4 linked regions of the Notamacropus eugenii genome follow. The protein of the gene in region 1 purifies or fractionates together with the protein of each later gene. This does not show direct contact. Links are inferred from orthologs where the notes say so. Each region holds a gene or a part of one and is shown on either strand. Other genes may lie near its edges. The genes, in order: ING3, MRGBP, EPC2 and ACTL6A.

The links.
Region 2: the proteins of ING3 (region 1) and MRGBP purify together in Homo sapiens (co-immunoprecipitation; 4 studies listed by BioGRID and IntAct, counting the BioPlex papers as one, with this or other methods). This does not show direct contact. The link is inferred for Notamacropus eugenii from reciprocal best matches to the Homo sapiens genes ING3 and MRGBP.
Region 3: the proteins of ING3 (region 1) and EPC2 purify together in Homo sapiens (affinity purification with mass spectrometry; 3 studies listed by BioGRID and IntAct, with this or other methods). This does not show direct contact. The link is inferred for Notamacropus eugenii from reciprocal best matches to the Homo sapiens genes ING3 and EPC2.
Region 4: the proteins of ING3 (region 1) and ACTL6A purify together in Homo sapiens (affinity purification with western blotting; 3 studies listed by BioGRID and IntAct, with this or other methods). This does not show direct contact. The link is inferred for Notamacropus eugenii from reciprocal best matches to the Homo sapiens genes ING3 and ACTL6A.

Annotation. Positions count from the first base shown.
Region 1 is NC_092874.1:130,718,861-130,726,390, reverse strand, and holds the start of ING3 (inhibitor of growth protein 3), read left to right. Parts: upstream 1-4,516; 5' UTR 4,517-4,698; coding exon 4,699-4,726; intron 4,727-4,963; coding exon 4,964-5,035; intron 5,036-7,530. UniProt on the Homo sapiens protein: Component of the NuA4 histone acetyltransferase (HAT) complex which is involved in transcriptional activation of select genes principally by acetylation of nucleosomal histones H4 and H2A.
Region 2 is NC_092872.1:499,219,406-499,226,667, reverse strand, and holds the start of MRGBP (MRG/MORF4L-binding protein), read left to right. Parts: upstream 1-4,246; 5' UTR 4,247-4,275; coding exon 4,276-4,765; intron 4,766-6,043; coding exon 6,044-6,165; intron 6,166-7,262.
Region 3 is NC_092876.1:282,154,531-282,161,748, reverse strand, and holds the start of EPC2 (enhancer of polycomb homolog 2), read left to right. Parts: upstream 1-4,211; coding exon 4,212-4,364; intron 4,365-7,218. UniProt on the Homo sapiens protein: May play a role in transcription or DNA repair.
Region 4 is NC_092877.1:344,709,732-344,716,604, reverse strand, and holds the start of ACTL6A (actin-like protein 6A), read left to right. Parts: upstream 1-3,851; 5' UTR 3,852-4,325; coding exon 4,326-4,422; intron 4,423-5,039; exon of another isoform or gene 5,040-5,207; coding exon of another isoform or gene 5,208-5,232; intron 5,233-6,873.

The sequences.
Region 1 (7,530 bases):
CCCACAAGTTTACTCTTGGATGATCACATACTCAGAATCTTACAGAAATGATACCTCACCTAAAATCCTACAGCACAAGATTTCTGTGAAACACTGGAAAATTCCAAGGGTAAGAGGACTTCCAAATAGAAGGCAACTAACTTGGGATATCACTTAACAAGTTATAATGTTCAAAGGTCTAAAATCACTACCAATCACCACAAGTGATCAGCCATAGTTAATAAGCTTTGGTAAGGTCAGATGTTTCAAAAATGTTCCTCCTACCAAGCCAGTCAAAGAGTTAAATAATTGCAGATGGTGGGTATAAATGATTTACACAAATTCTAAGATTACCAGTCCTAGACTTTAGTACTGGAATAATTGGCATATTGTAACTAAATAATTATGAATGCATGAAACACTGAATCTCAGTACTGTGAACCAATTCTTTCCTAAGTTTTTGTGTTACCCCTTTGCAATGACAAAGGAAGCTTCTCTAAAGAAGCCATATTCTACATTTGCAACACATCCGTTAGTGATATTAAATGGGTAATCACTATAGTTTTGAAGAATGTTTTGTGACCTCAACAACTTGATGAAGGTTATATGAGAAAACATGATCAATAATAACTATTATTTATTTGATATTCACAGGACTGCAAGTGACCTATAAACATCACTTCTCTTGGTCCTAACTACCTAGTAAGGTAAATACCATAGGTGTTGTTACACCTATGTTACAACTGAGGTTCAGAGGAGTTAAGTGACTTATTCATGGTCACTCAGTAATTAAAGGTGACCTAAGAACTTAGGTCTTTCCTGATTCCAAGTCCAATGTCCTTACTACTCTACTATATTGTTAAAAGTATCTATTGATCATTGATATACAATTGGCATCAATACCTATCTTACACTTATAATCATCTGTAAATACTATATTATCCTCAAGCATTTTGTCATTAATCTTCAAAATTACAGAATTCTAGGCTTTGTTAAAATTATCTTTATATGGATTACTATGGCACTCTTAGATTTCCCTCTAACTGATTTTGAAAAGTATACACCAGAGTTGGCAAACCTTCAGCCACAAGGCCACATGTGGTCCTCTAGGTCCTCAAGTGCGGCCCTTTGACTTAAAAAGTCCTCAAGGCCAGAAGCTCCCACCTCTGGTACCTTCTCAAAGTCATCTTTCTTTTTATTTTCTGTACCCCTTATCTGCAAAACTATAACTTTCAGTATCTTGAGGAACATTTAGGATTATGCCTTAGTCTGTGCCTTTGCAATGACAAGCATTTATATTAGAAATCACTAGTTTAATTTGTCTACTATTTAGTTATATAATCTCCATAGGTAGATCCTTACTGGAACCATTACAAATGCTAGATTTAGTTTTATCACATAATTCCAATAGTAAGCTTCATTGTGAATTCCACTTATAAGGTGATATACAAAGTGTTATTTAGGAAATCCCCAAAATTTCAATGTTGAGACAGATGGCATAACTGTAGTATAAATAGCAGTGCCCCCATCAAGCTGCTGATTACATTCGTTAAATTTAAATCTCAGTAGAATCAATGATTCTAAAAATTCATGTAATACTTTAATCCAAAATTTAGCATGCACAATGAGAGATCTTATTATGGCATATATTTTAGTTGCACTATCTAGAGAACAACATGATGCTGTTTAAGGTTCTCTATCTTTTTTAAAATGGAAGAGCAGCCTCTCTCTATAAATTCCAGGAATGCCTCAAGTTCCAGGATGGAAACCATCTTCACTCCTTTGCAGGAACTATTTGAGTACTGAGTTAACACTACTTATGGTTATCTGACTTAAAAAGAATGTCATTTTTTGTGCCAGAATGGGTGTTATGTTGGGTATTATTTAAAAAGTAAGAGACAAGTAGGTTTGGAATGTGAGTACAAGTACCTTACTGGAGCACACCTCAGCAATCACAGAAATCTAAGCAACAAACAAGTATAGGAAGTCAAAAAGAATAGGATATTGTGGAACTCAAAAGGAATAAAAAACTAACATTGTACCACACAAGCTCTAGAATATATAAATAAATCCCCAGTGTCATTAGAGATAATAGATATGAAAGTACTTGATTAAACAAATAGTGCGTAAAGCCAGAGAAGAGGTTCATTCATGCATCTAAGCATTTTTTCAGTAAGCATGTATTAAGTGTAAGTGTGCTTAATGTATTCAAAAGACTATAGTATATGCTGGCGTAGATGCAAACAGGGTATGATTCTTGCACATAAGGAATTTGGTGAAACATAAATGAGAAACAATCAGGAAAGAAAAGGAAATGGTTACTATTTTCCACTGGGAAATGAAAACACACTAAAAAGTAAATATGCCTCCAATGAAATCCAACTTAGATGCCTCATCATGACACGGAAGTGACCTTGGATTCTCAGAGACCATGCCAAGGTGGTGCAAACTGTGGAAAATATTGTCAGTCTGAAAGGCTTTAGAGTTCAGTCATGGTGGTCAACTCTATTACTTGCTGTCCAAGGACCAGTCTTGCTCAGTTTAGAAAGGCTCGTTAACAGAGGATTGGCCACTAGATTATCAATGTTTTTGGCTAAAGAATTTCATGAAACCATCTAATAATGATGCATGAAGGGATTACCTGGGAGGAGTATCCACAGGAAAGAAATCAGAGATCACTGAAGTGTGAAGTCATTATAGACCTTACTAAGTACAGGAAGAGAAAGAAAATGTTAGAGCAGGATGTCTTGGGCAAGTCACTTAACCTCTGTCTGCTCCAGTTTCCTCAACTATAAAATGGGGATAATAATAGTAACTACCTCGGAGGGTTGTTTTAAGGACATAGTAGGCACTTCATAAATGTTTGTTCCATTATTCATGGGACTATGGACCCATGAAAATGAGAACACATCAATAATGAAGTGAGGGAAAATATATTGACTGGACCTTCCGTGGAGAATTTATGGGGGGACAAGAGAACCTGAATGGGCTGTAATACTGAAGGTCAGAGAAAATGACCCTACAGAAACCACAGATCCACTGAAGTACTTGAGGATCAAAGAAAAGGCTGAAAGTAAAGCTCTAGGGTGGGTCTGCCACTGCCACTGCAGGGTGTTTAATCACTTGCATAACTCGCCACTTGTGTACCAGCAGTGACTTCTGGTGCCCTCCAGACTCCCTCTCCCTCCCTGGGTGGGGTGGTAGGTATCTAGGTCTATAAACAGAAAAGTGTGCCAATCTTAGAATGCTATAGAAATGCTAGCTATCAACCTCAGAAGGTGTGGAGTGTAATAGTACCTCAAAGGATCAAGATTTATCCATACATGCAGTACATTTTTTTAACCCACTAGGTAAAGAAAAAGTAGGATAAAAATTTCTATTTCAAAGATATATAAAAAAATTATTTCATCAGCTGATGCTCCTAGTAAGCAGAAGCTGACCTCCTATAGGCAATTAAGATGAGCAGTGGATAGGAGGCTGGACCTGGAATCAGAAAGACTCGAGTTCAAATCCTGCCTCACATACTTATGATCCTGGGCAAGTCATTTAACCGCTGCATACCTTGAGTTTCAACTGTAAAACGGGGTAATAACCTACTTCTCAGGGCAGTTGTGAGGATCAAATGAGATATTTGAAAGTGCTTAGCACAGTGCCTGACATATAACAGGCACCTAATAAATGCTTCAACAAAGGAAACATATTTATTTCCTTAGAGTGCAAAGGAAAGCGAAGGAAGCTGAAAAAGACAAAACAAAACAGAGGACAAAATGACAACGACTCCCTACGTAGCGCTTTGTGGTTTGCGAACCGCTTCACCCCGCTCTAGCGTGTTGTTCTTCGGAACCCCGTGCTTAATCCCCTTTTAACTGATGAGAAAACTAGGGTCGATGGAGTGATCAGCTCCAGGGTCACACAGAATGGAGAGGCAGGGTCTGAACTCTGGTCTTCCTGGCTCCCCATCCCGCACTCAGCACACTGTGCCCCCCTGCACGCCAACAAAGCCCTACCTCCTAGGTAGGTGCCTGGAAACCCGGACAAAACCTCGATTCCAGGAACGAAGTACGTTCAGTCATACGCAAACCTTTGCTAAACCTACCAACGGGTCCTATTTCTGGACGGAAGATAGAGGCAAAGAGTTTTGGTTTCAAAACAATCCAGATTGTGTTTCGTCTCCGTTCATTACATCACATCCCTCCCGTTACTCGCCTCTCCCAAGCCCAGCCGGGATACCACAGAGAGAGCGATCAGCTGGGACACGAACTCACCGCGCTGAGGAGCCGGCGAAAAGTTGTATTTCGAGTTATGTCACGTACCTGCCTACAACTCCCAGCACCCCCTGCCCAAAGTCAACAAATAGACCGCGGTTCCTCATTTCAGATTTTGTGCAAAACCGTTTGCAGTCGCTCCTGGGAGACGCAGTTTCGCTGTGAAGTCATTATAACTCGTTTCTTCTCAACTTCTGCAAAAGCGGAACTACATTTCCCACAAGGCTGCGGGAGAAGGCATCGGCCAGCCTGCGTCACCGCGGCGGCCGACCAATGAACGTGCCGGGCGGCGGTGAGGCGAGCGCCGTCAGGCGCCAAAGTGTTTTTTTTGCCCGAGTCGAGCGGCTGCTGCTAGCGGAGGCGCCATATTGAAAGGGACAAAACTCCGGCGACAGCGAGTGACACAAACAAACCCCCGGACCCTCCCCCCATTTCCCCAGCTCTAAGGGCCGAGATGTTGTACCTAGAGGACTATCTGGAGAGTGAGTGTGAGGCGGGGCGGGAGCTACCCGCGGGAGCGTCGGGTGGGCGAGCAAACGGGCGGGCGGGAATGGGGGGAGGCGGGGGGATGTTTCTTTCTCACGGTAACTGGCAGCCTCGCTGTGGGCTGCCGCCTCCCCCCTCGTCCCCCTCCTTCTCGCACGCACAAGACGTACGTACGTACGTGCGTAATTTGGCCCCGGCCCCGCCCCCTCTGACGGGTTCTGTCTCTCTGACAGTGATTGAGCAGCTGCCGATGGACCTGCGGGATCGCTTTACGGAGATGCGCGAGATGGACCTGCAGGTGCAGAGTGAGTGACTTTTCCCCGCGCTTGCTTGAACTCCGAGCACCTGTTCCCCTCCCGCCAGCGCCCCCTGCTGCATAAACGGCCCAGTCTCAGAAGCGCCTTTCACCCGGTGGGGTTTGTGATGGGCGGGTAATGAATGGTATTCTCCGAATGAACGTGCTTCTTTGGCAGGAGGAAATGTTTGGGGAAGTGTTTGACCTCGTGCAAAGGTTCGGGCTGCTTAGAATTGTGCTGAAAACTGCGTGTTTCTTTAAAACCATCTGAGATTTTTTCAGCTGAATTCATAGCACAACAAATGTGAAACTAGGGGTTTCTTTTGGGGGGGGGGAGAATAGATTACAGATGCTGTCAACCATGTTTAAATTAACAACAATTTAATTTTCATATAGAAAAACGTATCCTAGCACCAGCCTACGCTTTTGTGGCTGCATTAAAAAAAAAAAACAAACAACACTATTTCCTCATAGTGAATGTGAGATTTAAGGAAAGCTTAACAGCCTTGAGTGAGGAGTTAGTGAACAAAGTCTGGAAATGAAGTTTCCTCGTGGGAAGATTGTTGCCCCCTTTAGTAGGGCAAATATGGGAACTTACCTAACATCACCTGTTCAGTGTCAGGGACCACTAAACTAACTCCCTGCCTACACCACTGTTCTTTCCACAAGTCGAAGTGAAGTTCCTACAAAAGAAGATGAAAAGATGAGGCCCAGTACCTCAAAATTGTATTCCAGAGCAAGAAAGGAGTCCAAGTTCATGCCCAACTGTTTCCAGGGAAGGTCTCTCTGAGGCACAGTCTTCAAATATGTAAAATGGGGATAATAGCTACACTACCTACCAGTCTCAGAGTGGTGAGGATTAAACAAAAGGGAAGGGGAAGAATTTTATTTTTTTATTGTTTTTCATTCACTTTATTTTTCTAGTTTGAAAGGGTAATCCTACATTGTCCACATTACCACAGATTTTACCATGAAAGTGCTATGATGTTCTGAGACTCAGTATTACAACATTATCTGTGAATCTGAGCATTTTAAAAACTTGACCATGAAGTTCTTTGATTCTTAGGTAAATGATCTTTCATGACATTAACCAACTGTTGAACATACATAAAACACTTTCTTTTGGTGTTAATGGGTAAGAATTTTAAAAAGCATAAAATGCTTTAGTAGTATGGAGGAATAGTATTATAGTCAGAGCTAAGCAATAAAGGTTCACAACTTGGCTCTGTCATTTAAAATTTAAGTGAACTGGGGCAAATTCTTTAATTTCTCTGAGCCTTGGTTTTCTCATTTGTGCTTCATACTTTCTTCTGTAAAATGGGTATAATGATACTCTTATTTCATGGGATTGCTGTGAGAAAGTAATGAAAATGTTTGTAATTAAAGCACTGTGTAGATACAAAGATATGTTATTAACACTCCGCTGTGTGTCATTCATCTTTTTAATAGTAGTCTTTGACTATTAATGGCAATTCATGCGAGTAGCTGAGCTACATGAGGAACAATCCCCAGAAGGGCATAGGCCTTGAGCTACTATGTTTCTTTGTTGTGTGGGTAGGATGTAGATTTAATACTTTTTCTGATCCACATGTATACCTGCTTCTCTGTTCAACTTCTGTAGATCTTTAGCTTTGTCTTGTCAGACAGAAAGAAGATGGAGAGAGAGATGTCATTAGCACATCTATAGTCCCTTGTGTAGACTATGAAAAACATTTTCCAGTAGGAACAATATTATAAATGAGTTCCCCATGCTAACACTCACAAAAGCTGATAAAACTTTTTGTAACAGTATCACTTTCTACTCTGTCTTTTTATGACAAATGGATTCCAAGTTAAACTACTGTGTACTACCCTGAGGACTCAACCGTTATGTGAAACATTGTTTCTATGAGAAAATAGGCTTTGAATTCCAGACAGGTGATTTCCAAATTAAACTTTAGAATACAACTATTTCCAAGGCTGGAGACTACCAATACTCTGTCATGGAAGTATAATTCTAAAACTGGAGAGAACTTTAAGCAATTAAGTCCAAGCATTTTGTTTTACAGATTAGGAAACTGAGGCCTAGAGACATTGTGATTTGTCAGAAGTCATATTATGGAGTAAAGAGATTGTAAATAAGTGGAAGGATTTCTTTATATTCTTTTTATCTGAAAGAGAAAGTGGGGATGGTGGAGGACAAATCTGTAATTTCATTGACGGGTTAAGCTCTCTCTGTAGAATTATTGTGACCTACTAACAACCACATGAAAGAGTGCTCCAAATCAAGAATAATTCGAGGAATGTTACAACTCAGAGATTTTACCCAACAACCAACAAATTGGTAAAAGTGACAAAATATAGGAATAGTCTATATTGGATGGGGTTATAGAAAGGTGGGACCTACTGGCACAGTATTGGTTGTGAATTGGCTCAAGCATGCTGGAAGGCAAATTAGTATGAGGCAAAGAAAGTGACTAAAATGGCCTTTCCCTTTGACCTAGAGATTCTGCTGCTAGGCATATA
Region 2 (7,262 bases), on another chromosome or scaffold:
AAGAACCAAGGAGAAGAAAGTCAAAGAGATAAGAGGATGAATATTTGATTAGAATCAGTTTTGCAAGATAAAGAGAAAATTAAATAAATCTACTTATTTTGTCAGAGCACTCTGCAGAAACTGTGAAAACATGGAAAGGACCTCTTAGAATTCTTGACCCACCCCCACTACAAGTTGCCTGTCTCCCTAGGTGATGATAACCTGCCTAAAGTCATTCTTCAATGATTAACATACTCCCACTTCACTATATCCTCCCCATTCCAGTCTGAACTAAAGATAAAATTATTCGAACCTATTTTCCATCCCCAACTGCCTGCTCCCTTGTTCCTGTCCCATTTCTAATGCCCCTGACATTCCATTCAAGATCTACCCACCTCTTTCACTAGGTTCCCTGGAATGCCTGCTCCACAGGTAACAACATTTGCTTTCTTCTTTCACTTTTTCCTTTCCCACTTCTATTTTCTTGTACTCTTTGAACTTGATTCTATCCTAATAACACAGCTTCCTCGCCATCCCACCACCCCTTTCCAGCATTTGTTGCACTTTCACTCATCCCCTCCCCATCCCCCCCCCCACACTGATCATTTTGGAGGCATTGGAATATTCCTTGCTCCTATCCCCTCTTGTAGATTCTCCCCCTACCACCATTACATCATTTCCTCTTTCGAGATTCAATAAGTCCATATTTATTACCCAATCAATTTTTGGTAGCTTTCAGTCTTTCTTTCTTCTCTCAATTCCTGTCTTCACACCAGAGGACTTCAAAATGCACACTGATATTCCTCAAGGACCCTAACCTCCCAGTTTCTCAACTTCTATATTTCCCACTACCTACTCCTCACCCCACTATACACATACAAATGTAATGCCCTGGATCTTGCCATAACCCGCAAGGGTTCCACTTCCCTGTTCCTGAACTCTGAAATTCCTTTATCTAATCATAATCTCTTATCATAGCATCTTTCCTTTTGCCTTATGAACCATACCCCTATTCTTCAACCTTAACCTCCATTCCTTCCACCCTTCACTTCTTTTTCAGACTTGCACCCCTGAACTATCTGTACTCCCCTTCTTTCACCATCTTAACTCCTTAGTGAACCAGGTTAATTCTACAGTATTTCAAGTTCTCTCAAGTTCCTTGCCCACTTATCCTAGCACTGATTTTATATATGTGTGTGTAGAATATGTATATGTATATTTGTACACACTGATAATGTTTAATATAAAATTTTGGAATAATCTCTTTGTTCTCTCTGAAGTAAACTCAGAGAGTGCCTCTTCCTATGTCAGCAAAAGCCAGCCAAGGCCGACTCTACACTCCTTAAGGAGACCTTTAACCTAAGACACTATATCTTGAATAATGAGACTTTCCTTTGATGAATGAGACTTTCCTTTGATGAATCTTATTATCTATAGACACATACTATGTTATGAATAATGGGACTTTCCTTTGATCTATAGACATATACTATGTTATGGCGTATTAATGATAAAGAAAATATAGACATCTTAGATCATAATTTCTATTGAACATTGTTTACCCTTTCCTATGTCAATTATCTGTTTAAGGGAGGAAGCCTGCCACTTACTAGTGGTGGGGTTTCTTTCCTTATCACCGAGACATATGCTTACCCAGCTTGGAATCTCAAGGCCTGACTCACATTGCTTTGTTAATTGTCCTGTCTTACTGAATTTATGATTTGCTTAATTAGGAGAGTTTCTTTCTCATGGCAAAATGTACTTAAGACAGATGATTTCTGCACTAGGTAGTCAGAGTCACCTCTGACTCCATAGCACTATGTAACTGTTTTCTTTATAGGGAATTGATCAATTAATTAATTAAATCATAAAATGTATGCATTTAGCCATGTTGCCTTTTCTTAACAAAGTTTTCAGGTCAACAACACACACACACAAAGGTATCCCAAAAGTCTTAGTGCAAATTTAAGCTTTAATAGCAAGAAAGGGTAAGCTAGGTGGTACAATGGATAGAGCACAGACCTTGAAGTGAGGAGAGCCTGAGTTCAAATCTGGCCTCAGATACATAGTAGCTGTGAGACCCTGGGCAAGTCACTAAACCTCAATTTCCTCCTAAAAAAAAGCAAACAATAGTAAAAGAGACACAGTTGTCCTGTATGTGTATATACATGTGTAAAACATAAATACATATAAATGTGTATACAATTGTATATATGCATATGTATATGAATGTATATATATTATATGCATTATACTTATACACACACACATATATATATGCAAGCAATTCTTGCATATATCCCCTTCTTTCTATTCACAAAGCCAACACCCCAATTCAGGTCCTCATCATCTAGCCTATTGCAATTAGCCTCCCAACTGGTTCCCCTGCCCTAAGCCTTTCTTCACTTCAATCCCTTTTCCATATGGCCACAAAAGTGATTTTCCTAAAGCCTTTCTATGTCTAACCCTGTCACACCACTAGTCAATAAATGGCAATGGTTCCCTGTCACCTCTAGGACAAAATATAAACTCCTGACACCTTCCTATCTCTGTTGTCTTCTTATGCATTACTCCCCTCCATGAACTCTACAATGCGTTACTTTTCTTCATATGTGTTTCTTTGACTCAGCGTAGGTGCCATTTTCTACAGGAATCTTTGTCCTTTCACCTGAGAGTGCCTTCTCATTCAAGGTTATATTGTTTCAGTTTCTAGCTATCGCATATACTTAAACATGTCTCTTTTGACAGAATGGAAGGTCCCTGAGGGCAGGGAATGTTTCATTCTTGGCTTTGTATCCTTCACACCATGAACAATGTCCGACACATAGTTTAGTAAATGTTTAGAGAAAGCTTCTTGCAGTGGGGATAGTTTTTACCTTGGTAATTGTATCCCCTAGGGTTTAACAGTTGTTTGGCACATACTAAGTGGGGAATTAACCTCCTTTTATGTAAACTTTAAGTAATCTCCTATAGTTTAGCAAAGCCTTAACATGTTTTTGTTCAAATGAAATGAATTTTCATTACATTGGCATTTCAGGAAATATTTTGTCTTCATTTCTGATTCAATAAATGGACTGACAATCAATTTAGTCAAAGTTTTTAACTTGGGGTCTATAAACACATCATAAACCTTTCTTTAAAAAAAAAACCCACATTATTCTGATATGGGACCCATAGGCATCTGAAGGTTGCCCGAGGGGTTCAGGACACACCTTGGTTAAGATCTCTGAACATCAACCTGACCCACCCTATACTTAAACATCAGTTAGCAACTAATTAAGGAACCCCTACAGTGAATTTAATTGTAACCATCCCACTTTACCTTTTTTGTAAATTGACATTTTCTGATGGGAGACGCAGAAATCAAATCCAGGCTAAAACATAACTACTTCACAAGAGATGTTTGCGGACATAGGTTTTTACTATGTACTAGGCTAAGTGAGACGAGGTTAGGATCAAAGCTACGAAAGCCCCTTGATTAAAATAATCTTCAGCAAAGCACTCTTCTTAGCCCAAGACATGGTATTTTTTTTAATGCCTATGATTTCATGGATATAGGAACCTCTAGGTGAAAAACTTCTTTCCAAATCAACACTAACAGTATTTTATGGTCTTATTTGTCTGGGACACCGAGAGGTTAAGCCACTCGCTCAGGGTTACACTAAGCGAGATAAGGTCTCCACACGAGCTTGCATACCTAGCCACATAAAGTAGCAATGCATAACACCTGGGCATCAGCTCTCTCTGGATTTCTATTAGGCTTATCTCACATCTCTGTTGAAGTCTCGTGTACCCAAGGCTGGAAGGGACAACGTCTTTCCCTCCATCAATCCAATGAAGTTCAAATATGGGTTACTAAGCGAGGGAGGGTTCAGCAGTATTATTTGTAAAGAATAGCGTGAAGAGAGAACTGGTTTGTGAGTCAGAAGACCTGAGTTCAGGAGCTAGTTTGTGTGACCTTGGACATTTCACTTAAACCCCTCTGACCCGGTTTTGCCATTTGCAAAGTATTCTCCACAGCTCTAAAACCCTTGCACCACTCTCCCCACGTGGTCATCTCTACTAATGATTGCCCTAGGAATAATGCTGAGGGAACAATATTGCGGCTTTTCTTTTAACCGGGGCCTGATTCCCATCCAAAGTAATAATAGGATTGTTACACCCACACCACCCACCCACCACTTCCGCGGAGCCTCATAAATGCTCACCACAGTCTAGTTTAAACTGAGGTTTAATTTCTTTCTGGGGAAACGAAAACGGAGGAAAGGCTAGGTGTAGTGGAGACGGGAGCGAAACATGTTTGGAGCCAAGGAGCCCGCGCGCCAGTACGTGGGCACAGGCGCGGCCTGGCCGGGGGACGACGGCCAGAGCGGCCAGGGCCAGCCTAGCTCAGCAGTCTCGGGGGGTCAGGGACAGGGAGGAGCGGCCCTGGGGGCGCAGGCGCGGGGGCGCGCACGGCGCAGAGCGGCCGCCAGAGGGCGCCGGGGCCGCGCGCGCAGCGCTTCGCAGCTCTACAGCTCTATTAACCGGGACAGAGCTATGGGGGAAGCCGAGGTTGCCACCGGCGGAAGCGGCGGCGGCGGCGGCTCTAGCTCGGGCGCGGGAGGCGGCGGCGGGGGCGGCGGCGGGGGCGGCGGAGGCGGCCCTGGTTCCGGCCCGGGCCCTGGCGGTAGCGGTGAAAAAGGCCCCGGGGAGTCGGCGCCCGGCCCGCCCGACGAAGTCGTGGTGTGGAGCCCCGAGGTGGAAGTGTGCCTCTTTCATGCCATGCTGGGGCACAAGCCCGTCGGTGAGGAAAGGGGAGCCGGGAGGGCGCAGCGCTGGGCGCGGAGAGCAGCGCAGCCTGGGCCAGGCCGGAGCCGCGGCCTCGAGTGCCAGCCGCGGCCTGGCGGAGGGCCGGGGCTGCGGCCGGCGGGAGGGCTGGGCCTCACACTAATCCGCCCCTAGGAAGCTTCCCGGGGAGCCCTCCTCCCTCTGGCTCCTGCCCCCAGGACTTCTCTCCCGTCTCCCATCCCCGGCCCCCGAGCTCTCTCTTCTCCCCACTCCCATTCTTGGCTCCCCCGGGCTTCTCCTCCCCTCATCCCCGCCCCCCGGACCTCCAACTCCTCCCTCCCATCCCTTACCCCCTATCTTCTCCCCTCTCCCATCCCTGGCCCCCGATCTCTTCTTTCTCCCCACTCCCATCCCCGGCCCCCTATCTCTTCTCTCTCTCATCCTTGGCCCCCCCGGGTTCTCTCCTCTCCCACCCCTAGCCCCCGATCCCTCCCTTCTGTCCTCTCCCATCCCCGACTCCCCCAGGCTTCTCCCCCTTACTTCTTTGATCCCCGACTCCCCGAGCTTCTCTCCCTCCCACACCCAACCCTGAGCTTTCCATCTACCCCTCCCCGCCCACCCCCACTTTTCTCCCTTCCCGACCCCACCTCCCCCAGCTTTTCCCCCTTCCCTGGTTCCCGGGTCCTCCCAACCTCCTCCCCCCTTCTATCTCCGCCCTCTCCCTCAGTTTTTCCACCCCAGACTCCGGGGCGTCTCCCCCTGCAACCCTGTGTGTCTCCCTTGTCTTCTCCCCCCCTTCCCTTCTTCTTTTACCCTTTCCCCAGCTCAGGGAGAATATATGTTGTTGATCCCTTTTTAGGAACTTTGGGGAGGGAGAGAAATGCTGATTCTCCTCATGGTGGAGCCCTATGGGAAAACCTGAGGCCAGGCCAGCCTCCTTGTTGGGGGAGGGGAGAAGTAGTGGTGTTTGTTTTTAAATACTTATGGCTCTTCTGTCTGAACCAACACTTGGATTCGAGACTTAAATTCAACCAGGATTTATTGAGCACTTGTTATTTACTGGCTGCCAAGGGTGAGAGCAAGGAGCTTGGGAGAGAGAATACTCTTGTACTTGAGCGTAATTGTAGCGGGGAAAAAAGAGTACTAATATTTCTGAGACAGAGGGAAAACACTTGTTTTTATAAGTTTGAACTCTGCTATTTTCCTTGTGTTGTAAAATAAAGATTTCCCCCCCAAAAAAATTTCAAGTCAGGAACAGGTGGAATTTCCTGAACAGTTTTCCCCCCTCTTACAGGTGTGAACCGGCACTTCCACATGATCTGCATCAGGGACAAGTTCAGTCAGAACATAGGGAGGCAGATCTCCTCCAAAGTCATCTGGGACCATTTAAGTACTATGTACGATATGCAAGCTTTGGTAAGGAGTGAATTCCAGCACAATGTTGGGCGTATAAGTAAAAGTGAGAGGATTTAATTCTGTTCTTCCCTTGAGTTCCTACAAACTAAGAAACCTTTAAACAGGAGTGTCTGGCTATAAGAAAATAGGGTATGTGGAAATCCTGCTTAAAAAATTTAGGGGGATAGTTGCTAAAACAGTAAAATTGTATTGAAGTTGAACTCAGTTAACTGGAACCCATTAATTGTTAGAATTTGAAGGGGGCCTTAAAGATCATCTTGCATTCTCATTTTACAGCTGAGAGAACTGAGACCCACAAAGGAAAAGGAATTTGCTGAAAGTTGTACAGCTAGTTAGTGGCAAAACAAGACTAAAAACCCAGTGTTCCTGACCCCTCTTTCCACTATCCTATGGCTGATGGGCCATAATTTCTAAGAATCTACACAAATTTAATTACTAGAAGGAAATCACAACTTTGCAGTTTTCAGAGAATTGTCTCAGTACTCCCCTTTCCTCTCTCAGATGAAAATGGACTGCAATGGAACAGTCTATTGTAATGAGCCAAACAGGCTAACCCAGTCCAGATGGAATCCCAAGATGTTCAGGTATGAGGCAGTGAAAGAACATGGGTTGAATAAAAAGGTCTTGGTTTAGGTCTAGACTCTGATATTTACTGAGCTTTTTCTTCATCTGCAAAAGAGAGATAATACTTGCACTCCAGCCTCAGAGGCTGTGTGAGAATAAAATGTGATTATATACAAAATGATTTGTTTCTCAGTTGAGTTCTTATTTAAGTTCCTGACCTCAAAAAGTGAGGAACAAGCTAATCTTTGAATCCCAAAAGTGTTTTTAGGGACCGAAAATAATAGGGTGTTGAAAAGCCACTGAACTGTTAAGTGGTGTTAAAAGGATAACCTTTGTCTCTCCTTCCCTAGGTGGGGTTCCTATAATTGGTTGATTGCCAGATCCTAGCATCCTACAAGCCAGTGACCTTTTGCTAACCTGCATCAGCATGCCATTATGTAGCTAGGTTCTTTATTTCTGGAAGCTATGGCTGTACTTAACAGGTGGTCTTTTCAAGCATTATGCTGTGCCCTTTTCTTGACCTGGTTCATACC
Region 3 (7,218 bases), on another chromosome or scaffold:
CAATTTGAAAGAATGTGACATTTACAAAAACTGTTAAATAGTTGAATAGTAACTATGACTATTTGTTTTTCTCAACTGAATTAAGTTTGCTTTTTAAAAGTTATTTGTCAATTATTTAGAAAAAGCCTGTTCTGATTACAAGAGTGGGAAATGGACAGTGAGATTTTATTTTGACTTTCACAATAAATTGCTATTTGATCTTAAATACTCGATTTGTGGCTCATTTTCCTTATTTTTCACTCTAAGGAATTACATATCTGCAACTGTTTTATTTTTAATATTGCTTTAATGCTCAGGTCTGATTCCCTGATCTTTCTTCATATTACATTTGTAGGGTTAAATGTATGCAGCTCATCATAGGTCAAGGGAAAAGCATATTTGAAGAGATCAGTAAGAACATGTTGTAATTATTCCAAACCTTTCAAAATTCTTCTTCCTAGAGAACTTTTTTCTTAGTAAAAGGAACTGTCTCAGAGGTCAAGACTATAATTTTACGCTATTTATGGAAGCAAGAATAGTGGTGAAATTCAACAAATACATTAGGAAGAAAGCTTAGTTAAGTAATAATATCTATGTACAAATGAAAGACTTTTCAGACACTAAGAGTCAAATACTAGTTTGAGTAATGAATTGGAAGTCAAAAAACCACAGACTGCCTTATGATAAATATGTATTGTGTTGCTTCCTTCAAACTCTTTTTTTCACCAATTCTAAAATAACTGCCCATATGGCAAAAGTAAAAGAGAGACTTGAGGGAGAAACTTAAGTGGACAAAAGGCTTAATGGTCATTTATGAAGCACTTTGAATGCCCTGGCTCATTTGGGCCTTACAATAACCCTGTGAAGTAGGTACTAAAGGTCTTATTACCCCAATTGTAGAGATGGGAACAAAGGTACAGAGGGCTTAAATACCTTACTTGCATATAGCTAGAAAGTTTCAGAAGCAGAATTCAAATCTAGGGTTTCTGTTCTTCAAGTCCAGTATCTCATTCATAATGGTGGGAAGTTTCTTAGTTAATAGAAAAAAAAATCTGTTCTTATTACTATATGCTAGGGCTTAATATGATTTGTAGTAATGTGCTGTCTTGTTTCCCAAATTGCTTTTGGCTCATAAATTTGGGCTGAGGAACCAGAAATGCTGTGGGTGTTTACAGGAACATGCATGGACAACTAAGTTCAAGTCAGGTAAGGGACCAGTGAGGCACTCTAGCTCAAGCTGGAGTAGGAAGTATCCTGGTTCCCCATTTATCCACCTCCACCCCCGCCTCCAACACTGAATCCACAATGGAATAGATAATGGATCTAAATCTAGCCTTTAGGCTATGGGTTATGAGTTTTTACTGGGATCCTTGGGGGCGTTTAGGTTAGAAACTTTACCTCCTGGAGTGCTCAGCAATCTAATGGATTTTCCTAAGTAAGAAAGTGAATAATAAAGGAAGGGAAGAGGAAGTGTGGGGGAGGGAGAAGAGAGTAGGGGAAAGGTGGCCAGAGCTGCTGGAGAAGCACAAGACAACTTGCACTTGTAAATTTCTGGGGACCCAGGGAAAAATCCTGGTAGCCCACTTACTGCATTTTCTTTTCCCGTATTATCTATACTTTTTATATTCAGTTCTGTGTTCAACCCTCCACTTCTTGGTTTTTTCCTTTCTTTAAGCTAAACTTCCTTTCTTTGCCCCCGGATTCCTGAAGAGAGTAGTGTTCACAATTAAATATACTCACCAGCTCGTTTGAAACATTCCCATTTTTTAAAATTAAAAACATCTTCCATGGAAAATATTTAGGATTTTAGATTTGAAAAAGATCTGCTTACTACCTTAGAGACCAGTTACTCCAATCCTCTCATTTTAAGGATGAAGAAATGGAGGTCCGGGAAAGTTTGTGACTATGCCAATGCCACAGGGTTGAAACCAAGATTTGAACCTGACTCTTCCATCTCCAGATCCAGGGTTCTTCTCATCACATCATGACTTAATGATAATTGACATTCATACAGGGTGTCCCAGAAGTCAGTGCAGTTTTATGCTTTAAATTCCTTTAAAACTGCACACAGACTTCTGGGACTCCCAGTATAACGTTGTTAAGGCTCTCAAAGTCTTTCAAATGCCTGATTTCTTTAATTCTGACAATGGTGTTATGAAGGTGGTACCACAGATGTTATTATTCACATTTCACACATGAGGCAACCAGAGGCTTGAGAATTTAAGTGACTTGCACGTGGTTATAGAGTGAGTGTCGAAGGCAGTATTTGAAACCATTTCTTTTCTGGCTACAAAATTAATGCTTCATCTCTACACACCACTTTAAATAATGCCCTAAACTGGCTTGACAATTCAGACTCTATCCAATGTGACTATCTACCCTTTTCAGCTAAAATCCCACCTTCCATAGGAAGCCTTTCTTGATTCTCTTAATTCTTGTGCCCTTCCTCTATTGGTTTTCTCTAGTTTGTCTTACATACAGTTTGTATGTAGTTGTTTGCATGTCATCTCCCCTATTAGGATGTGAGTCAATGAGAGTAAGGACCGATTTTATCTTTCTTTATATCTTTAGCACTTAACATAATGAATGACTGGCACACAGTAGGTGCTTAGTAAATATTTATGAACCGGAAATTTTTATAGTCGGTTTGTTCAAAAAAAAAAAAAAATCTTGGAGTCCTACAGAATAATACTTGTCACGGAATTCCTAAGAATTCTGTTAGGATTACTTAATTCTTTAAATATTAATCATGATATTCCAGCTAACATAAGTGCCAAGAATACTGTTATCAAGATAGAGCTCAAATCATACTTCCTTACGTTTTCCTTGAACACTCCAGCCTAAGGCGAAGTGAACTGAACCGTTATTTTCTGTACCATTTATTTGGTATAATAATTTGCTACATTTTGACATTGTCTTCTTTGCCACTGTGTTTCCTCAGCTGAAAAATGAAGGGATGGGATCAGACGATCTTTAAGGTCTCTTCCAGATCTGAATCTTAAGCATCTTGTTTTTCATCGTATAAGTTTGCCTAATTTTAGATAAAATGATTTGTTTTTGCTTCCCCACTTAGCGCCTGAGACCACCGTGTCTTTACACAACTCTATCCTGCCAGCATCTAGTGAAATGCCTTGCCCATGGACGCACATTTGTGGATTGGATGTTTTTAAGTTAAAAGAATCCTTTAGACTTCTCAGCCCTTAGGAGAGCTGCAGGTGGCATCAGAAGGTCCCCGCGCTCTGAGGCTCTGGGGTCCGCGGGGACAGAGGTGAGTGGTGCCCGCGCATCCGGCCCGACGGGGAGCGTCGGGATCCCCTCGCTGGGCAGCACCACAGCCCTAGGTATCGCCCCAAGGCAGGGCAGGGGTCGGGGGCACGTCGCTCCCCAGGGGGCCGGACGGGCTCCAGGCTGGAGTTGTGTCCGAGCGGTGTGGACCGAGCCTACGGTGTTTTCGCACCTCCTGGGTAGCGTGCGAGCGTGAAGGAAGAGGATGCTCCGGGCGGCCTGGGCATGAGCCCGGTCTGAACCCCGGGTACTCCGTGCGGGCTGTCTTCCTCGCCACGGAGCCGAAGCGCCCCCGGGCAGCGCCGGGGTGAGCCTGCATCTTCCAGCGCCTCCGTTCGCGCGGCCGGGACGGGCTGGGGAGGCAGGGGCCACATGGGATGGGGCATGCCCACCCACGCACACCTGACGGCAGTCAGGTTGGCGGAGGGTCGCACGGTTCTCCGCAGTCCTCTCGCCCTGGGAGGCCCGAGGGCCCGCGCACACTCCCGCGGGCCGGGGGCGCGCCGAGGAGAGAGTGGGTGGGGAGGGGAGCGGACTGGAGAGGAAGGAGGGAGGAAAGAGGGAGGGAAGGAGGGAGGGAGGGGACGGCGGGGAGGGAGGGAGAGGACGAGGCGCGTCCCCGCGGCGGGGGCGCGCCCTCGCGCGGGCTGCCGGGATCGCTCGCCGCCGCTGTGGTAATGTCCGCCATGTTGGCCATGGCGCAGGGAGCGGATCGGGCGGGCGAGCGGCGGATCTAGTGTGTGGAAGCGGCCGCGGGCGGCGGTGGGTTGTTCTCGGGCGGGGTGGGCGCCCATGCTGTGGACGGGGGCAGTGAGGAGGAGGAGGAGGAGCGGGCCGGCCGTGCTGCACTGAGGAAGGAGAGGAGGCGGCGGGAGCCCTCCCCCCCCTCGCCCGCCCCGCCGCCGCCGCCGCCGCCGCCCGGGCTGTTCCTGTGAGGCGGGGAGACAATGAGTAAACTCTCCTTCCGAGCGCGGGCGCTGGACGCCGCCAAACCGCTGCCCATCTACCGCGGCAAGGACATGCCCGACCTCAACGACTGCGTCTCCATCAACAGGGCCGTGCCCCAGATGCCCACCGGGATGGAGAAGGAGGAGGAATCGGTAGGGACTCGAGTGTTTATTATCCCCCCCCCTTCCCTCCTCCCTCCCCCCTCCCCATTGTCAGCCGGGCATCGCCATTCACGGAGCGCTCTACGCACGCTGGAGGGCGCAGCCGCTGCTCCGCCGCATGGGACCGTACGCCGGCGGAGTAGCGTAAACTCTCTCCGGCAGCGCCGAGCCCTCCGCGGCCGCCATGTTGTTGCGTCCCCGTGTTGTGATTAGCTCGCCGCGGCGCTTACGCCGCCGTATGGGGGCCTCGCCGTAAGCGGCGTCTGGGAATGGCGCAGGGGGCTGCGCCGGCCGCTGTTGGCGGAGTGCCTCTTACTCGTTTAGGCACTGGGGGCCTGGGGGCCGGAAAGGTTTGCTTTTCGGGGCGCATTGGGCTTTTTTTCTTTTCCTTTTTTTTTTTGTTTTGGTGGTTGTTGCAGCGGGTTTCCTTTTTTAAAAAAACATTACTTCGGAGAAGTAGAACGATTTCCAAACCGACATCTGTTTTCCCCCTGCAAGATCGTCTTCCTCGTGTTCTTCCCCTCCCGCTGTAAGCTCCCCATCCCTGGTGCAGTCGGTAGTGCGGCATGGCCGGAGGTGGGGGAGACGGACGGCGGCGGCGGGGGCCACTACACTGCAGCCTGCGGCACTGCCCGGAGCCGGTCAGCACGCGGTCGCAGACCCCCCGGGGTTCTGTGTATGTCCTTCTGCACGAGCCGTACGCGCGACCACTTACTGCGTTTGTCAGGGAGGGTCGCTGCCTGTCTGACATTTCGCGGTAGGATGCGTTTCGTCTGGAATTCTGAGTTGTGGGTTGTTGCAGTGGCTTTTCGGGGGGGATTGCTGAAATTATTATGGGGTGACTTTGCCCCCGGCTGAATTTCAGCTGATTTTGTGCTGGGTGTTGGTGACCCCTCGAGTGGCTTTACTTGCATGCGGAGTTCATAGTAACTGCACCCTCCAGAATTTCTTCAATGAACCTACTTCCCCGCCTCTTTGTCAGCCCCCGGTGTGTGTGGATTGGCTCTCCGGCTTCTGCGGCTGTCAGAAGAAGGCTTGCTGCTCTGTGATTGGTCTCCTCCTTGGACTATTAATATTGCAGGAAACACTTTCATGTCTTTGATTGGCTGCTCATGCCTCTGACCTCATTGTGTCGCCCTGTTATTACTACTTTCCAGCTGTGATTTAATCACATCTCCCTTTAGAATTGGAATCACTGGCTTAACTTTCACTTGAAAACGTGGTGTTTTTTATTTCTGAATAGAACCTTCCTTCTTCTTTTGGGATCTTGGAGAATATGGTCTCCAAGACTTTTGGAGACCAAATTCTCCATTTAAAAAAAAAAGCAAAACTAGAGTGAAAAGAAACATTTATGGGTGAAGTCTGTGCATGAATAGAAGGAATTACTTTTAGACGTTTTCAACGCATTGCACCAGCAACAAATAGTTGCTTATGGGACTAGCATTTAAAATAACAAAGTTCTACCCCGGATAAAGAATTACTTTAATTATTTTTTTTAAAATCAGGGATAGGCTTTTGATCTGTCCCAGATGTAGAGAACTCTCAGGTGAAAAAACTCCTTTTATCAATTAAAGTTGACACTTCTCTCTGCAATGTGTAGTCTTAGAGAGTTGTTATGGAGAGCACAGAGAAGTTAAATGGCATATCTAGATTCATACAGCTAATAGCTCTCTCTCTATGTGTATATATATATATATATTATATATATATATATAATATATATATATATCTCAGAGGCAGAACAGGATTCCACATTTTGCTGATATATTGGTTCACTCTCTGTCCACTACCACCCTGATGCCTCATATTTTATTACACTTTTGATTTTAAGAATTTTTAATAATTTTGATTTTATTCCGCTGAATTTCCATAGATATCATGTACACATTTTTAGACTTTCAAAAAGACAGGCATGAAGTGAGTCCATCTACTCTTGTATATAATTAAAAAGAGCTTTGGACTAAAATTCAAGAGACTTGAGTTCAAAGTCTGGAGATGATACTAATTATAGTTCTCTGATCCTGAACAAATTACTTAACTTTTTCTGGGTTTCACTTTTGCTCATTAAAAAAGTGAAGGACTTGTAGTAGATATTTGAAGCATCTTATTTATTCTATCCTGTCCATATCTTTTTTGATCTTGAGTCTGACATTGACTTTCATGTAGCATGGTGTTCAAACCCTTTCCCAACTTTGTTGTCTTCCTCTGGATACTCACTAGGTTATTAACATCTTTCCTAAAATGTTGTATTAATACCTATTGATCTTCTCCTTTTCCTCCATATTCTCTCTCCTTTCCCCTCTGTCCTTTCCTATCTGCCTCTCTGTCTTTTATCTTTCCCCTCTTCTTCTTCCACCTGAGTGCAGGGAACTTCTTCTGACAGTACAGTTTGTCACCTCCTTTGATTGCATACTCTTAAATGATTTGCTTCAAGGACTCAGCAATTAAGGGACCAGTCGGGATTATTATTTTGCCTGTCTTAATGCAGCCTAATAGCACAACTTGTTTGGACACCATATCTGAAAGATCATCTTCAGTTCTAAAAGTCTGTAACCCAGTGAATACTTTGGTTTTTTTTTTTTTTATATTTCTGATGCATCAAAGCTTTTCAGTTTATTAACTTCCTTCCAAAAATGCGATCCCCCCTCAAAAAACAATCTCTTTTAGAACTACTTAACTCTAGGATAGGGATTGGATCTACCATTTCATGGAGAAGTACTGGATGAAGAAACATCCTCTACTAATGTAGGTAGATACCTTTTCTGCAATTAATAGTCTTAGTTACTTTGAACATAGAGGTTAAGTAACTTGCCCGTCATCACAAACTGTGTCAGAGATGGGACTT
Region 4 (6,873 bases), on another chromosome or scaffold:
ACAACCTGAATGTCAGTGATTAGAAGAAGATTTGAGACTATAAACTGATATAAAATTCAAGACCTTGAGTTTTCCTGGTTCCTATCTGTGACAGAGAAGCTGTGTAGGATGGCTGATGGGATACTGGACTTGTCAGGGAGGCCAGGGTGCAAATCTCACCTCAGACACTAGATATGTGTTTCTGGGCAAGCTATCCTCTAGGTGCTTCAGTTTCCTCATCTGTCAAAATCAAGGCGCTGAGCCCCATGGCCTCAAAGGTCCCTTCTATGACCCTATGATACACTAAGATGTTAGAGAAGGCGATGCTTAGCTATACCTCCAAGAAGAAATCATCATGAACCCCAGCTTATTTTCTTTCAGTAGAAAAGACTGTTGTATTTGTATCACTTCACTCAATCCTCCCCAGACATGATATTCCAGCTCCTGCTGTTACACAAGCCCGGGATGCCCTTCTTCATCTCCTAAAACTCTTAGAATTGCCGGCTTTCTTTCAAGTCCAACTCAGTGTTCCCTCCTACACAAGAACTTTTACGATCCCCCTTCCTCTCCCAGTTGTTAGCGCTATCTCTTTTGTGAATTTACTTTGTGTATACTTTGTATTTACTAATCTTAAAACATATTGTATCCCCGCCAGTAGCATATAAGCTCCTTGAGAGCAGAGAATGTTTTGGGTTTTTTCTTCTGTGCCCCCAATGTCTAGCCCAATGCTTGCGAGATAGTAGAGGCATAACAAGTGTTTAATTGAATTGAATTTATCATGTCTTTTTATGTGGAAATGGAAGAAAATGAAACACCAGATCAATAAGTTAAAATAAATGGGTATTTCACAGGTCAACATTAATGAAAAGCTGCAGGATCCTTAGTTATCATTCCCCATCACTGCTGAATAAATTCTTTCTTACCAGACCTTCTCTAGCAAGTCCACTACTCCATTGCAAATAATCTTATTAAAGTCATACATTTTATATGGCAAAATGTAAGAAATCCCTAAGAGTGTACTTTAATACAGGCTGACATGGTACAAATCACAACAGGCTGAATTTCTTGGTTGTAACTTAATTTCTTTTGCTGTCTGTTTTAATGGCATAACCCATCCCGCTCAGTCGGAGCATTTGAGCTCCATAATGCGTCAGAAAGCAAGCTGAACAGAAATTATGGGTGAATTTTCCAAATGAGAATGGCATGTCAGTCAGAAGACTATATACTAAACAATGGGAAAAAAAAAAAGACCACTTACCTTAAAAGCAAATTTCTCCTAAGATGGATTTACTGTAGTTGCAATTTACAGCTTTTTGTTTTTTGATTGTCAGATTGGAGTTTTCTCTGGCATACCAGTCTTGCTGTGGAGGGAGAAGGCTCAATTAAAGCTTCTCCCTACATTTGCTTGTCTGCAGTGGTGCAGCTGGCTGGGAGATGAAGTCCGAAACACGCCCTCTAAACCAACTTTTCCTTCCAGATAAAAGACTGCCAGTGGAACCTGGAATAATCTGAATGTTTAGGACTTTTTTGCCCCTCCAGATTCCTACAAGGCAGATGTTCTTATCTTGATCTCTATTTACCTCAGTTCCTTCAGCTGTAAAATGGGGATAAAAATAGCATCTCCCTCCCAGTGTTATTGTGAAGATAAAATGAGAAAATATTTGTAAAGTGTTTAGTGCAGTGCCTGGCACATACAAGGCACATATAAATGCCAGTCATCATCATCATCATCATCATCACCAATGTAGTGTGTTGCTGCGTTATATTTTTTCTATACATTTTGACCAAAAAAGTTGCAGAAGTGGGACAAAAGATCAGGAAATATTACATACATCAACAATTATACAATCTCTGTCACTTGTCATTATTATGATGAATATTCTAACATCCCCCATGCTGGAATTCTCTTCCTCTTTACATTTGATCTCTGAGAATCCTTTACTTCAAGCTTCAGCTTCAATGCTACTTCCTAGAAAGATCTTTCTTAATTCTTCTAGTTGCTAGTCTGTTCTTCCCCCACTTATTTGTATATATTTTATATCTGTATTTATGTTGTATACATTTTATATTGTGCATGCTTTATATTTAGTTATCTGTGTACATGTTATTATCTCCAAGTGAAACATAAGTTTCTTTGGGTCAAAAACCATTTCATTTTTTCCTTTGTATCACCAGCACCTAGCCCAGTACAGAGCACAAGAATAGGTCCTTAATGAATGCTTGTTAAATTGATTAATTAAAATTAGAAGGTAGGTTTGGTCAGGTGAATAGAATTTTTGCACATATATTCAGGGCCTGAGGTGATAATTTTCAGAGGCTGGAGAGATAACAAGAGTCTTGTGTCTCTTCTCCATCACCATCATTTATTTTTCTATGCTGTTTGGTTAAACTGGTAGGTTGTCTTGTTGGTCTAGTAAAAGTAAGCATGTCAGTAGGGTCTCATAAGCTATGATTCTGAGTGGATGGTGACTCACAAAGTGAAGGTCTTATACGTCTTACAAATGTCAACTGCCATCTTGGCCAATAAAGTCCAGATTTGTCCGTTGACCTGCATATCCCAAATCATCAGAGATTCCATAGCCATAGATTAGTATGCCTTGGATAGTACCATCTGCTTTCTTGAACCTGGGGTGGGATCAATAGTGGTCTGGCACAGAACTTCATTTCATAGCTCTAATTTCTGCAAAGTACTCTCTGGAGAATGAAACATTCATCCTTGAGGGCCACACCCTCATTTCTTTAGCTAAATCATTACTTTAAAATTTGTATCATGCACTTGTTCTTACCAAGTCATCTAAGGTCAAGGCAAGAAAAAATGATTCTATACAATGAAATTCTTGTCCAGTGAGGGTCCAGTGACTGGTGGAAGTCCTAAACTTTCAGCTACAAGTCCACATGTTAGTGGCCCAGCAACTTGTGTGTCACCTATCACCTTTACCATTCCTGTAGGGTATCACCATGGCTGTTGACAAATGTAGCTTAGGTTATTTATTGCAACAGACTGTTGGTGGGTCTCCCTGCCTCAAATCTCTCTTCACTCCAGTCTATCCTCAGCTCAGTTGTCAAATAGCTTTCCTAAAATGAGGTTTCACTATGTCACATACTCCCTACTCCCTTTAACCAAACTCCCACAGCTCCCTATTGCCTTCAAAATCCATTGTAAAATCCTCTAGTTGGCTTTCAAGGCCCTTCATGAACCCAGTTCCTTCCTACCTTTCAGTCTTAGACCTTACTCCCCCTCCACATACTCTGCTATCCAGTGACAGCAGCCTCCTTCCTGTTCTATGTACACGATATTTCTCTCCCAACTCCAAGCATTTTTTCAGGCTGTAATACATACCTAGAACTCTCTCCCTCCTCATCTCTTCCCCCTGGCTTCCATCAAATCTCCACTAAAGTCTCACCTTCTGAAAAGGGAATCCTTAATGTTCCCCTCTCTTGAATGTTTCCAAAGTATCCTGACTATATCGTTTGTTCATGGTTATTTCTATATCCTCTCTTTGTATCTCAGAGCTTAGCACAGTGCCTGGTACTTAATAAATGCTGTTGACTGGAGCTGAGTCTTCCCAGAAGGTAGTACACACTTAGCTCATGACTGCCTTCTCTGCAGGTAGCATACATTTTAGAGCTAGTTGGATTACCAGGGTGATTGTTGACCGCCCATATTTGAAAATGAGCTCCATGCTCAGTCTCAAAAATTTGTCAGGGCAGCCTGTTTCAAAGCCAAGAACTCCAGTGGAGACATAGAACAAATCTCATTACTAGTAAGCCCTCTACTGGCAAAGGCAATGAGTTTCAGAATCAGATATAAAACTGCTCCCGGGCTTTTTAGGGTGGCTTCACGGAGTCACATAAAAGGCAGGCTTGCTTTCTGCAGGTACCAACACCGATGCCTGGGGGAGGACTTGACCATCTCTGGAGAAAGCTTTGCTTCGCTTCGTTCTGTTCATCTCTTATCTGTCTATATGCCCTATATACAACATATCATCCCTGTTCTAATGACATTAACTCTTCATAACGTCATGGGCTGTTGCCTTCTTGTCTGCCGGCTCAAGGCTCGGAGCACCGTGCCTGGCACGAAGTAGGCGCTTAAGAAGTACTTGTAGCTGTTAGAATAAGGATCCCTCCTTTTAAGGATCTCTCCCGCGGGTTTGGCAGGGTTTCCCTTGTCAGCCATAAAGTCGGGAGCATTTCTATGCCTGGCGGCTTGCCCAAATCAAAGGGAGTCAGCGCTTCTCGGGTCCCAGCCCTGTCACCTTCCAGGGGGCGGCTCCAGAAGCCACACTCAGTTCCCCAGAGGCAGGCAGTGCTTCAGGTCTGTTCTAGGGGCAGTCACCAAGTGCCCAATGGGAGCCATAACTGGGCATAAGCACCGGGTACGACAGATCCGCGCACCTGGAGAGGACTTTTTAGCAGCCCGAGGCTACTCTGCGAGTGCGCCAGGTAAGCGCGCACCTGAGCCTGCTGGTGGATGAGGGCTTGCGGGAGGGACCCGCGCAGAGGGAGGTGCCCCAGACCTGCTGCTGGGTCAGGCGTGTCCCCTGGGATCACCGACAGAGCTGGGAGGGTCCGCAGTGCGCCCTCATTTTACAGATGAGGTAACTGAGGCCATCCCGGGAGCACGTGACCGAAGAGGGGGGCTGGCAACTCAGGCCTGCGTCCCCGCACTGGTGCAGGAGCTCCAGGGAAAGGATGGGGAGGACCTCGCGACCTCCCGCAGCTGGAGATCCCCGGGGCTCCCCCCACACACGTATGTGTGACGTCACGTGAGTCCCTTCTTCTCTGGGTTTTGGGGGAGAGAGGGGGTGGGACCGCGTGACTTGCGGGGTCTCTGGGGCTCCCGCTCTTGGCAAGTCCCGCCTCTCCCCCTAGCAGGCCCCGCCCCAGTCCCTTATGCCCCGCCCCTTACGCGCTGCAACCCAACTCGGTGTCTCCTCCGCCCCCTTCCGCCGCTTGGCTTTCTCCCCGCCCCCCGAGGACGTTCTATTGGTCGCACGGCTGCGGGCGGGGGCAACGTCTCTCTCGGATTGGCGGACGCGGAGGCCTGGCCGCTCGTCATTGGCCCGCGGCGCGGCGGCAGCAGTGTGGATGCGCGCCTGAGCGGACGGCGCTTTGTTGCCTCAGGGGGAAGCCGGGGGGCGGGCGGCGGTTGCTGGAGCCCAGGAGGCGCCGGGGCCGGGCAGGCCGGGGCCGGGGGCCGCTTCAGCGCGGCGGCGGCAGTAGCAGCCATGAGCGGCGGCGTCTATGGAGGAGGTGAGCGTGGGCGCGGGCCGCGCGGGCCCCGAAGAGAGCCGGGCCCGAGAGCGCGGCGTGGGGGATCGCGGGCCGGGGCCCGGAGCAGGCATCCCCGCGCTCCGGCGCCGCTCAGGGAGGCGGGGAGAGGGGTAGCCCTGAAGCCCCTGCCGGAAGGCCTGCCCGGCCTCCCTTGGGTTCCGGAGAGGGCAGCGACCAGGCGCCGTCACTGCAGCGGGGAGGTCGCGGGCCTGCGGGCGCCAGCGCTGCCGGGGCCCCGAGGCCCAGAGTGGGCAGCCAGCCGCGTCCTGGCGCCCAGCACCAGCCCCCGGGACACCGAGGTCGGAACGGAGAGAGCCCGGCAGCACCATGCGGCCGCCCCGGGTCATGGGGGAGGGGCGGCGGCCACCGGCGGAGAGAGTGCCCCGGGGCCGGGTGGGGCCTGCCTCGGAGCCCGAGATGGCGAGGGGGGTCCTCGGGGCCCTGCATAGATCGGGCATCCACCGAGGGGCTCCGGGGCCCGCGCCTCGTTCAGAGCGCCCCCGGACACGGAGGGGCCGCCTCAGGGCAAGGGCCCAGGCCCTCTGGGTGGGCTCCTGAGGGGGGTGTTGGCACCTTGTGGGCCTTGAGTGCCCTTTGTCAGTGTCTCGGGGAACGACTGGGCGGGATGGTGGGTCCTGATGGCGCATTGAGCTCCCCGACCCGTCTGAGAGACGTTCAGAGAGTCACGGCGCTGCCGAAAGTTTCCGAGATTGCTGGACCTGGGCTTCTTAGCCTGGTCCGGGGTAGATTCAGGCGGGTCAGTGACCCCGAGCCGGAGAAGCTTGGGCAGCACCCAAAGGCAGCTTGGTTTGAACTCACCTGCCCCGGGACCCAGCGTCGCCTTGGTGACGATCTAAAAGAGCAGCCGACGTTCCGAGAAGCGGTCCTTAGGTCTGGCCAGCCTGGCCCAGAAGGTCCGAGGTCTGCCCAGGCCGTGCTCCTCCTAGGTTCTGCAGACCCCCGGGACACCTGGGACCCTGGGGCCTGCGGGGCCGTGACAGCGGACTCTCAGAAGGCGTTTTGTGCTCAGGACACTGGTGGAGAAACTTGGGGGATTGATTGGGTTCAGGAGACGGAGCAGGGGATCGTGGGTTTGTAGTCTGGTCTTAGAAATCTTTGTTCAGCTTGCCTGCGCACCTTGTGAAGTGAGGTGGTCGTAAGAACCGGGCCTGGCAGCTGTCAGGCTGGACACCCCATTTGGTTGGTTTTATGACCTGGGGGTCCTTTTCAGACCTTATTTTTCTCTTCTCTAAACTGGGAGAGTCACCTTGATGATTTCACAAGGGGATCACCCTAGTTGCATTTCTTGCTGCCTTATCTTCATTAGCTCTTCCTCTAGCCCTCCTGAAGCTTGGCTAAGGGACCTGTACTGTGATACACATTATTTCATTTTGTTTAGTATTGAACAACAGACATGTCAGACCCTTCTACACCTATGGTTGTGCTTTGTCTTTGACTTCAAGAAACACTGAAGGTTTGAAAGAGCTTTGTGGGCATGGGGATGGTTTTGAAAATCAGTACATTTCCAGTTTATAACGTTTTGCCTCCACTAGACCATGCTGTTAAGAAGCATGTATCAAGTGTTTTAATGTCTTTGCTTCTGAAAAAAGATAACATGGT